2 linked regions of the Callithrix jacchus genome follow. The protein of the gene in region 2 purifies or fractionates together with the protein of the main gene of each other region. This does not show direct contact. Links are inferred from orthologs where the notes say so. Each region holds a gene or a part of one and is shown on either strand. Other genes may lie near its edges.

Region 1 (5,828 bases), on a different chromosome or scaffold from region 2:
TTGGTTACTATAGCTTTGTGGTATATTTTGAACTCTGGTAGTGTAATACCCCCGCTTTGTTCTTTTTGCTCAGGATTGCTTTGGCCATTTGGGGTCTTTGTGGTTCCACACAAATTTCAAGATTGTTTTTTCTTTCTGTGAAAAATGTCATTGGTATTTTGATAGAGATTACATTAAATCTGTAGATTGCTTTGGGTGGTACTTGCATTTTAACAATATTAATTCTTCTAATCCATGAACATGGGATGATGTTTTTCCATTTGTTTGTATTCTCTTTAATTTCTTTCGTAAGTGTTTTATAGTTTTCCTTGTAGAGGTCTTTCATTTCCTTGGTTAATTTATTCCTAAGTATTTTTTTTTTTTTTTGTCTTTTTGTTTTTTTCCTTATTGTGGAGAGCGGGGTCTCGCTATATTGCCCAGGCAGGTCTCGAACTCCTGGGCTCAAGCTATCCTCCCACCTCTGCCTCCCTAAGAGCTGGGATTACAGGCATGAGCCACAGCGCCTGGCTATTCCTAAGTATTTTATCTTTTATCTATTATAATTGGGATTGTGTTCTTGATTTCTTTTTCAGCTATTTTGTTGTGTATAGAAACACTACTAATTTTTATACATTAATTTTGCATCCTGCAACTTTACTGGATTCCTTTGTCAGTTCTAGGAATTTTTTGATAAAGTCTTTAGGTTTTTATATACATAGGATTATGTCATCTGCAAACAGAGATATTTTGACTTTCCTTTCCAATCTGGATGTACTTTATTTCTTTTTTTTATATAATTTCTCTGGCTAGGACTTCTAGTACTATGTGGAATTGTTGATTCATCTTGCTAAAATGCTGATATATCAGAATAAAGTATGTTTTGCAGCTATTAAAATACTTGGCTAGTCTACTAAGAAACCATAATGGTTTTGTGAACATCACAGGATCGATATTTCTATAAACATAATCAATATTTTAATTAAATATAAAGTTCAACATCAAAATATTTAATGACTTTAAAATAGAGAAAGTTTAAAGAGAGCCTTTTCTTGATATCTTATTCTGCTTTATATTTCTTTGTTCATATACACATCTGATACAGAAAAATTGAAGTATGGGTTTTAATTTTGCTTACACTATTTACTAATGGTATATAATAATTTTAATGTCAAAGAAAATTATTGTCTATAAATGTCCCTTGGTATTCCAATCTCTGTTCAAATTTAAAAAAATAATAATTTCCATTTTAAAATTAGCATTTTTAAGAGAATAACTTAATAATAAAGAAGGAGATAGGAGCCTCTCCTCTGTCAGTGCAAGGGAATAGTAGAGAAATCAGAATCTGTACAGTACCTTTTGTGTAGCTCTGTGTCTGGAGGCAGGAAGTAGCTTCATAGTCTTCTGAGATGTTGCTCCCACCTAAAGAAAAACACCAGCCACCTAATGAATTTAATTTGAAGTTATTATAGAGATTGAAATGATCAGCAGATTTAGGCTACAGTGAACTTTTTGTTAAACTGAAATTAGTGATATAACTATTATTATCAGTAATTAACTTACTTTCTAATGAAATATGCTACATTGGTCAGAATACATATAGGAAACAACCAAAATAGTAAAATTTATCCTATAAAGACAAGCCAAAAATAGTTGTGTAAGATGACTGGCAAAATGCTTTATTAAAAAATATCTCAGGCCGGCTTTAGCTCAGCAGTTACTTCGACAATGCTTTCTATGGTGGAAACACAAAAAATATCTCTAGAAGCCTTCTTTTCCAACTGCATATAGTTGTTCTGTAAAGTTATTCAAGATCTTTGAAAATAGATTTCAGTTATTAAAAATGCAACGTAAGACCACATGCAGTAGCTCATGCCTATAATCTCAGCACTTTGGGAGGCCAAGGTGGGAGGATCACTTGAGCCCAGGGTTTCAACACCATCTAGGCAACACAGGGAGCCTCTGTCTCTACAAATAATAATAAACTGGCTAGGCATGGTGGTGCATGCCTGTAGGCCTAGCTACTTGGAAGGCTGAGGCAGGAGGATAACTTGAATCCAGGAATTTGAGGCTGTAGTGAGTCATGATCATGCCACTGTACTCCAGACTGCCTGGGTGACAGTGCAAGACCCTGTCTCAGAAAAAAGAAAAAAAAAAAAAGGCAACATTGAAGATTTCTGCTAAAATATCAAACATGATTATGGGCATAATATCCAATCTAATGGGTGAAAAAATATTATTTTGCAAAAAAATACAAAAGATGAAAAGAGCAAGGAACTGTCACACTGGTGAATTGTTAGGAGGATGGGACCAATGGAATAGAAATTGGTGAAAACAACAGATCATGACAAAACGTTCATATAGTATAAATGACTTTATTCTGCATTCCAGAAAATTGTATTAAAGTAATCTGCTTAGATTTGTATTTCTGAAGCGTCAGTCTAGCAAATGATGTGAAGGATGGCTTGGAGGGAGATGAAGCTGAAGTTCAGGAGCCCAATCTGGAGGCTATTTCAATTATTCAAGCAAGAGAATAATTGCTTGAGAACCCAAATGAGGGTCACAGAGATAGAAGATATGGGACAGATTCAAGAGATATTTGGGAGTTAAAAGCAGCAAGATGTAGTGACCAGTTGGATATAGAAGATATTAAGGTGGGAAGTACTTAGCATAAACTCCTAGAAAATTGACTCAGCAAACATTTGTACCATTAGCTAAAATGAGATGACCAAAAAAGATGAGGAGGAATTGGGGTAAGAGAGAATTTTAGGGCTGAAAGAAATTCTGAAAGGCAATGTGGTGTAACAAAAATAACACCAGTTCTGGAGTCCGAGACTTTGATTCAAACAGCAACTCCCTAGTATGCTAAATTCTTAGAATGAACTGGATGCACATTAAACTGTTGTCATTGCTTTTCGTTTGTTTGTTTTTTCCTTTTGTCTCACTCTGTTGCCCAGGCTGGAGTGCAGTGGTGTGATCTCAGCTCACTGCAGCCTCCGCCTCCTGAGTTCAAGCGATTCTCCTGCCCCAGTCTCCAGAGTAGCTGGGTTTACAAACGCGCACCACCACGCCCGGCTAATTTTTATACTTTTTGTGGAGACGAGGTGTAACCATGTTGGCCAGGCTGGTCTTGAACTGCTGACCTCTTGTGATCCGCCCGCCTACGCCACCGAAAGTGCTGGGATTACAGGCTTGTGCCACTGCCCCAGGCCTAGTTTTCATTGCTTTTATTATGATCTGCATGGTGTGGTCCAGCTCACAGTAAGAAACAAACAAGTGCCACGTGCTCGGGAGAAGGGGCCGGAAGATGGAGATTCAGGAGATAGAGGCCTTCAGGCAGCCGCGGCTGAGGAGAAGGAGGAGGGTCCCGGGGGGAATCCGGGATCAGATTGTGTCAACACATTCAGAGTAGTATCCTCAGGTGCCGGCAGGAGCCGCACGGCGGGTGCCTGCGCCACTTTTTCCCAGTCTCCGCGGACCGTCACAGACAAACGAGAGCTGCCCAAAGGCGGGGTGCTGGGAGGGCAGCACCCAACCGGATCCTTAGCCTCCGCACCCGCTCCTGGCGACCTAGACTTTCCTCAGTGGAAGGAAGGAATCCTCTCTGGGAGGGAGCTGGGCTTGTCCAGCGCGGCGCCCGCCCCATCCCTTGGGTTTACCTGTAAATAATCCATTCGGTTTAAAATCAGATCCATGATGACTACGTGGAAGGGATAGGCAGCGCCGGACAAGAACAGGAGGGACAGAGGCTTTGGTCCCGCAGATCTCGGATCTAGTCAGAAAGCCGCCGGCACCCACTCAGAGGCCAGCCCCAGCAACCGCGCTCACGTCCGGGGCAGTACAGGCTGGGCGACAGGGTAGCGGCGTCCGGCGTGACGTCAATACGCTGCTGCGAGTGGCTCCTGGAAGAAGATGAAGGGTCGCCCCTTTCCAGAAGCACCGCCCACTGACAGCGTGTTCCAATCAGAGGCGGAGAGGAACCAAGGACGCGAGGTACCGTAGACCCAGGGCGGTTTCCACAGAGACCCCAGACGCAGGCTTGGCTCCAACCTCACCGCTGCTCAGAGCTAGTCCTCGGCTTGTTTACCCATCGCTGTACAACAAACTCGTTAAGCCTCGGTAGATTCTGACCGATTTCACTCCGACACTGGAAAGGGCAGCAGTTCTCAAACTTTTGGTCTTAGGACTCCTTTACAAAACTCTTAAAAACCATTAAGGGCCACAAAGACCATTTGCTTTTGGTGGGTTTTCTCTCATTTTTAATTTTTAATTTTTTTTTTTTTTTTTTTTTTTTTGCGACGGAGTTTCGCTCTTGTTACCCAGGCTGGAGTGCAATGGCGCGATCTCGGCTCACCGCAACCTCCGCCTCCTGGGTTCAGGCAATTCTCCTGCCTCAGCCTCCTGAGTAGCTGGGATTACAGGCACGCGCCACCATGTCCAGCTAATTTTTTGTATCTTTAATAGAGACGGAGTTTCACCATGTTGACCAGGATGGTCTCGATCTCTTGACCTCGTGGTCCACCCCCCTCGGCCTCCCAAAGTGCTGGGATTACAGGCTTGAGCCACCGCGCCCGGCCTTGTTAGCTATTTGTATATCTTCTTTTGAGAAATGTCCTTTGACCACTTTTTGATGGGATTATTTGGTTTTTCCTCGCTGAGTTGTTTGAGTTCCTTGTAGATTCTGGATACAAGTCCTTTATCAGATGCATAGTTTGCAAATATTTTCTCATACTCTGTGGGCTATTTACTCTGCTGATAATTTCTTTTGCTTTGCACAAGCTTTTTAGTTAAATTAGGTCTCATTTATTTATTTCTGTTTTTGTTGCATTTAGCTAATGTCCAAAAGAGTTTTTCCAATGTTATCTTCTAAAATCTTTATGATGTCAGGTCTTAGATTTAAGTCTTTGATTCATCTTGAGTTGATTTTTGTATAAGGTGAGAGATGGGAATCCAGTTTTATTCTTCTACATGTGGCTAACCAGTGTTCCCAGCACCATTTATTGAATAGGGTGCCTTTTTTCCCATTTATTTTTTCGTATGCTTTGTCGAAGATTAGTTGACTGTAAGTACTTGGCTTTATTTCTGGGTTCTCTATTCTGTTTAATTGGCCTATGTGTCTACTTTTTTACCAGTACCATGCTGTTTTGGTAACTAGCTTTGCAGTATAATTTGAAGTCTGGTAATAGCATGCCTCCAAATTTGTTCTTTTGCTTAGTATTTCTTTGGCTATTCAGACTCTTTTTGGTTCCATATGAATTTTAGAATTTTTTTTTAGTTCTGTGAAAAATAGTAACAGTATTTTGATGGGAATTGCACTTAATCTGTGGATGGCTTTGGAAAATATGAAGACAGTTTGTTTATATGAGTTATCTATTAGTTTTTACCATATTAGACATTAGAACTGAAAATTAGTGTAGTTTTAAAAACCTGTGACAAATACCTTAATGAAAAAAAATATTTTCCAAAATAAAAAAATGAAATGAAACTGGCACTGTACACAAATCTATTTTCTGTCCATTTTAATAGTAGACAGGAGGAGCTTCAACTCTGCTACTGCAGTCAATCTATTGTTATATGTTGTTTTTGTTCATGTATATAAAGAAAATTTGGTCCAAACTCAACAAGTGGCAGTTTTTTGAAAGGTTAGTTGCAATGTGGAATGTGACTTCATTACGTAACATCAAAAAATCCCATCTGTTAGTATCACCATGGATCTCATTAAAAAAGTCTCGAGTATGGGAGATCTGTCAAACTGATGGTGAATACATGTTTCCCAAAATTCGAATTTGTGCTTGAAAGTTTGAAATTTACACATTGGCAATTAATGCGAGTTGTTTTCCTTGAACTCATAG
Region 2 (5,392 bases):
GTTCCCTCTACTTCTGTGCGTGTCTGAGAGTCTTCATAGAAAATAAGATTAGCAAAAGCCCAGTGAAGCAGATTTTGGGATTGTTTAACAGATGTTTATGAGAGTGTGACCACTAGGAAAGCCAGTGCTGAACTGAATATCTACTCAAATGGTCCTGCTCACATGAAATCATACTGTAGCATGCACACTCAATGGAAAGGCCACCGGAGACAGAACTGCACGTAGGATGACTTCCTGCAGACAGTGACATTCAGTCATTACATTCAGACAGGCCTGAAGAACTATGACACTGGATTTCACTGTACTCTACAGTGCCACCTAGGTACAGATGGATTTGCAGATTCATAACCATTTTGTCACACTCATCAAAGGCAAACTTAGGTAATGTTCAGTATAATAAAACCTAAATATAAACCAATTAACTAAAAACTTTTCTTCATCCCCACCCCCCACTGTAATTGGATGTCAAAGTGAAAGGGAAAAACTTTAAAAAATGTGAGAATATCTTGCATGCCAGGGAAATTACAGGTGTGTGTGCTATGTACTGTCCCCTCTGCCCTGGAGGATGGACAGAGGGAAGGCCACTGGTTCTTACCAGGCCTTTTGGGGGCAAGGATGTCCCAACACAGGACTATAGAGGCATTTGTCTCGGAGTGGCAGAGGGTGGGGTGCAGTGAGCAGTAACTAAGACGTAATTTGAAGTTTAGAACTTCATTCTATTTAGAAAATGTGCAAAAGGTAGTTAAAACTTGTTTCACCTTTTGATTTCCTTGATCAAGCTGTAAATCTTGCAGTGCTTTTTCTAGTTTGGACTTTTCATCCAGTGCATTTGTAGCCTATAATGAAGTTTAAACAAAACACTTTCAGTATTTAATCTGTAGGCAAGTCAATAATTGTGTCAAAACATTTCTCAGCTACCTGTATTTCAATGGTCTTCAACCTTGACTTCAATTTCTCATTCTCTTCTTGAAGTCTTGAAATTTCCTTTGTGAGTAAATACAAGTTTTATTATATTAACCAAAATATTTTAATATTTGAAATTATTACTTGTTTCACTTAAAAATCTAAGTTTTAAATTTAATTTAAATTACATAATAGCTCAAAAATGCACTACTGATATTTTGGTAATATCTCAATTTCATCCAGACCATCAGCCTCAGTATCTGTGAGTCAGCTTTGGCCCTAAGACAGCCAGTTCCTTTCCTCTCAATTTCTCAGACACATCTTTCCTCTTTCAGCCCTCTGTTTTCAAGCTTTTTCCAGAGACCCCCTTCCCTGCCATCTCTCTCCTAGGTGGTCCTGCAAATCCTGGGTCTGTTCTCAGCCTCCACTGCACACTGTTGACCCTAATCCGGAGAACTCCTTCATTTCAGTACCATGCTCAAGCCCACAGATGCTTCTGACTGAGTTGAGCAAACACCTTTGCTCTTATACAGCTCAAACATTCAAGTCACCTGTGTTTTTTTCCACTAGACTCCGACAAACACATCAGGCCAGTCAGAGAGCACTGCACTCTGTTCCAAGTCATGCCGCTTCCAAGTCACTGCCTGTTCTGTTCTCCTGCCCAAAACACTCACTTCTTTTTCCTCTAGAATTTAACTGGTCTTCACCCTTCAAGGCCCAGCTTAGGTGCCTCCTTATCCAAAAGGCTGTTCTCACCTACTCTCATCCACACACAGCTGAGTCTTCTTTGCCCCCAAGTATGACACCTGTAGCACACAGGAGAGTATTCTCTGGTCTCCATTTCTAGAGCATCAGTTCTACCTTCCCAATAAAACTATTACATTTTTGAGGGCAAGGGACAAGGTATTACACTGCTTTTTATCTCTTTAACAACATCTAGCATAATGTTGAGAATACCAAGGTCATGAAAATAGCTGAAATCTGAAATGCTTCAAAATCTGAACCTTTCTGAGCGCTGACATGATGCTCAAAGAAAATGCTCATTGGAGAATTTCAGATATGAGATTTTTGGATCTGGGCTGCTCATCTGGGTCTGTATAACATAAATATTCAAAAATATGAAATCCAAAACACTTCTGGTCCCAAGTATTTTGGATAAGGGATACTCAACCCATGCTGATAAATAATTTTTACAAACTTAAAGCAAAAACCCTTCTCTTTGTTACCGTAGATCACAAACTTTAAATGTCCATCAATAAACGCTGTCCAAAATGTCATGCTCTTCACTTTACCTGGAAAAGCTGTGATCAAGAGCTACTTCAGGCTCTCTAGAAGGTAAGGATGCCCTCTTCTGGCCTATGAAATACCATTAAGTAATACTATTATAGTGAACTAATTATCCTCAGTGGTCCTGAATCAAACCTTCCACTTCTGTTTCTCCATCCCAGAGTTGTTCAGGCAATGAGAGGAGAGAATTAGAGGTTTTCCATTTCTCAAAATAATAACATTACCTTGTTTAGGAGTTCTGCTGTTCCACCTTCATTAAGTGGAGCAAGCTTTGGTTTTGTGATATCTATGATGGGCTGAAACAAAATAAAGAAACCAAACTGAAATCACCCCAGAATAAAGCATGTATAATCACTGAACACTTGCACCTTCCAAGTGGAAGACACTGTATATAAACATATCCACTGGGATGTCAGTTCCACAGGTGCGGAGATTTCTGTTGGATTCATCCTTTGTTATTCCCGGTGCCTACGATATGCCTGTCAGGGTAAAAATAAAACCTATCTTCCCTGTATCTTAAAAAAATACAAACGGAAAATGAGGGAAGAAAGGAGGGAAGGAAGGAGCTCAAAGCTAGATCTGCTATAGAGCCTTGCATTTAGGAACTAGAGTTTTAACCTGTGGGAGCTGAAACAGTGATTTCTGCATGAACCTTAGATTCTGTGAAAAACTGTAATACTGATAAAGATCTAGGCAAATATACTATAGATAAACAATAATTTGGCACAAGTAATCCAGTAGTTTAGTAATATGTATTAAAAACAAAAGAATCCTTGCCCTCTGATCCAGAAATTTCTCCGCCAGAAATATGACCCAAAGGAATAACTGGAAAGTGTTTTGTATGGGTGTGTACCTAGATTCATCTCAGCAGTGTTTATCCAACAATGGAGTATTCACCGTACGTCTGTGAAGTGGAATCGTAAGTCGTCATGCCAGTTAATGAGAATGATTAGAAAGAGAAGTAGATGACTCCTAGTATTGTCTCCATTTGTCAGATGAGTAAAATGAAGCTCAGCTACCTCAGATAACCTGCTCAAGGTAACACAGCCAGGAAGTATCCCCAGGTGTGGCTGACCCGAGAGCCTGTGCTCTGCATCTTCTGAGTAGAGTATTTATGGGTGGGACTGAGACTGGACTCAGGGATCATGGGTTTGTGTAGGTCATCACAGACAAAAGCAGTTTTCCATAGTTACTTCCAAAACATTTTTTCTTTTGCCTCAAAATATGAGAGACAATTTTTGAATTTTACTCTTGAACTGAATGCTTTTCCTTAAGAGTTCTCAGTTTGATCTCTGAATTCTTTGAGTGACTTGAGGATTTTAAATACTGGCTATTAAGATACGGATTTAGAATGACCACAAAGTTACCTTTTTGTTTGAAGATGTTATCTCTGCTTTTTCAAATTCTGCAACTTGTTCTAATAATTCTCTTGAAGATTAAAACAAAGATAAAAATTATTCATTTAAAACAGATTTATATCACACATAAGAAGAGTAAAATCACTGGTACCAACCTATTAAATGCCAGAGAGAACAGAACAAGGAAGACCAAACTTCACCATATCAAAAATGTTAGTTGCAAATGGTTGAGAATCTAAACCACACGGACTCAAATGTGATCATCCACAGCACCTGGCATTTTGCACCTACTAGGTATGCAATATCTATTGCTAGAAATACACTACAATGTTAATATAAAAGTGAGGGAAATTTATAGTCAACTTTGTATTCTCCAGGTGCTATGAGGAGATTTTTTTATTATATAATATGTATTGTTAGCTAGAAGGTGATTCAAGAAAGACAAACTGATTCTTAATAAAGTAGCCTCAGAAAAATGAAAATAGTCCATAGTACCTCTTGAAAAGGAGTATCACAACTCCCTAGGAAAGACAGATAGTGGGGGTGTGCCATCTGAAGACTGGCCAAGGCCAATGAGAACTTCTGTACACAAGCGGAGAGAGTTAACAGCAGTCAGCTTCTAAGCTTCTGTAAGTGCCACCTTCTCAGTTTTCTCACCAGTCACCTCCTGACAGTGGCAGAAGTCAAAGGATTTTCCTCCCCAGTCCACAGGTTGTCCTCAGTGTTGCTCAACACCTGCACATGAACTGACATGCTGTGACCACGCTTGGAGAAGTTCACAGGGCTTGGTGGCCAGTCCTTCCTGATTTCTGCCATGCCTGTTCTTAAAATGATTTCAACTTCACCAATTTTACCATATTTTTTCAATTTGAGCTTTTGATGTCCATATTATAAACTTTTCTGTATTTCATATTTCTTAAAGTTAATAAATGTGTACTTTTAAATTCAATTATTTAGAAAACTTCCAATGCTACTACATTGAATTGATGGTATTTATATTTGAATTGATTTTTGAACTGTCTCATAATCTTTATTTCTTAATTGACCAATCTATAAAGACTGATTGTAATACTGACCAAGCTAACAAAAATGCTGTAAAAAATAATGACAGCCTGAAAAGCAATTTCATAAATCTCAATGGCCCCTGGAATACCCAGGAACAGTGGAACAACTTTTAAAAGGGTGCTGCGTGGTACGCTAGACATCACTCCGTGACTCGATGCTTTGCTGTTACCCTACCCAAATTTTCTCACACACTGGCCCCAAGAAAATATGCAGCAAAGATGTTCACTAACTTTTAAGATTATGCCTGGGCCACTATTGTCACAGTTTTAAGTACAAATTTTATTACCGGTTTTCAAGTTCAGAGATGTCTGTCTGAAGCTTAAGATACCACTTCTCAGCTTGTGCAAACAGCTGTCGCAGAAGTAACACATTGGTATAGGCGGTGTTGATGAGCTCAGATTCTACCTCGCTGTGAACCACAGCTTGCAATCCATTGAGGACTTCAGAGACTTCATCTACGGTGAAGGTCTCCTCCACCAACCTGCAAAACAACCACAATCCAAAACTTATGGATAAACAACAACAAAATCTACAAAATACAACAAATTAAGAAATCCAAATTCATGTAATCTAAGAAATTCAAAGATTACAGTGAAAAATCTCTCTGGGAACTATTTTCTTTATTAATAAAACATTGAAAATAATTTAAACTCAATTTTTGTCATCTATTCAAATGATTAAATTGTGCACATCCTTTAATACACATTCCCAAAACCGTCTTCTATTTTTTTTCTTTAATTTTTTAGTATTAAATGTCTTATTTCAAACTCCACTGAAAC

Evidence for each region. Proteins that work in one complex are often made in the same cells at the same time.
Region 1: the proteins of LZTFL1 (region 2) and BBS7 purify together in Homo sapiens (affinity purification with mass spectrometry; 3 studies listed by BioGRID and IntAct, counting the BioPlex papers as one, with this or other methods). This does not show direct contact. The link is inferred for Callithrix jacchus from reciprocal best matches to the Homo sapiens genes LZTFL1 and BBS7.

What each region holds. Positions count from the first base shown.
Region 1 is NC_133504.1:75,813,852-75,819,679, reverse strand, and holds the start of BBS7 (BBSome complex member BBS7), read right to left. Parts: upstream 3,831-5,828; 5' UTR 3,672-3,830; coding exon 3,636-3,671; intron 1,420-3,635; exon of another isoform or gene 1,399-1,419; coding exon 1,333-1,398; intron 1-1,332.
Region 2 is NC_133516.1:28,562,816-28,568,207, forward strand, and holds part of LZTFL1 (leucine zipper transcription factor-like protein 1), read right to left. Parts: intron 5,095-5,392; coding exon 4,900-5,094; intron 3,619-4,899; coding exon 3,558-3,618; intron 2,487-3,557; coding exon 2,415-2,486; intron 985-2,414; coding exon 919-984; intron 837-918; coding exon 759-836; intron 1-758. UniProt on the Homo sapiens protein: Regulates ciliary localization of the BBSome complex. Together with the BBSome complex, controls SMO ciliary trafficking and contributes to the sonic hedgehog (SHH) pathway regulation. May play a role in neurite outgrowth. May have tumor suppressor function.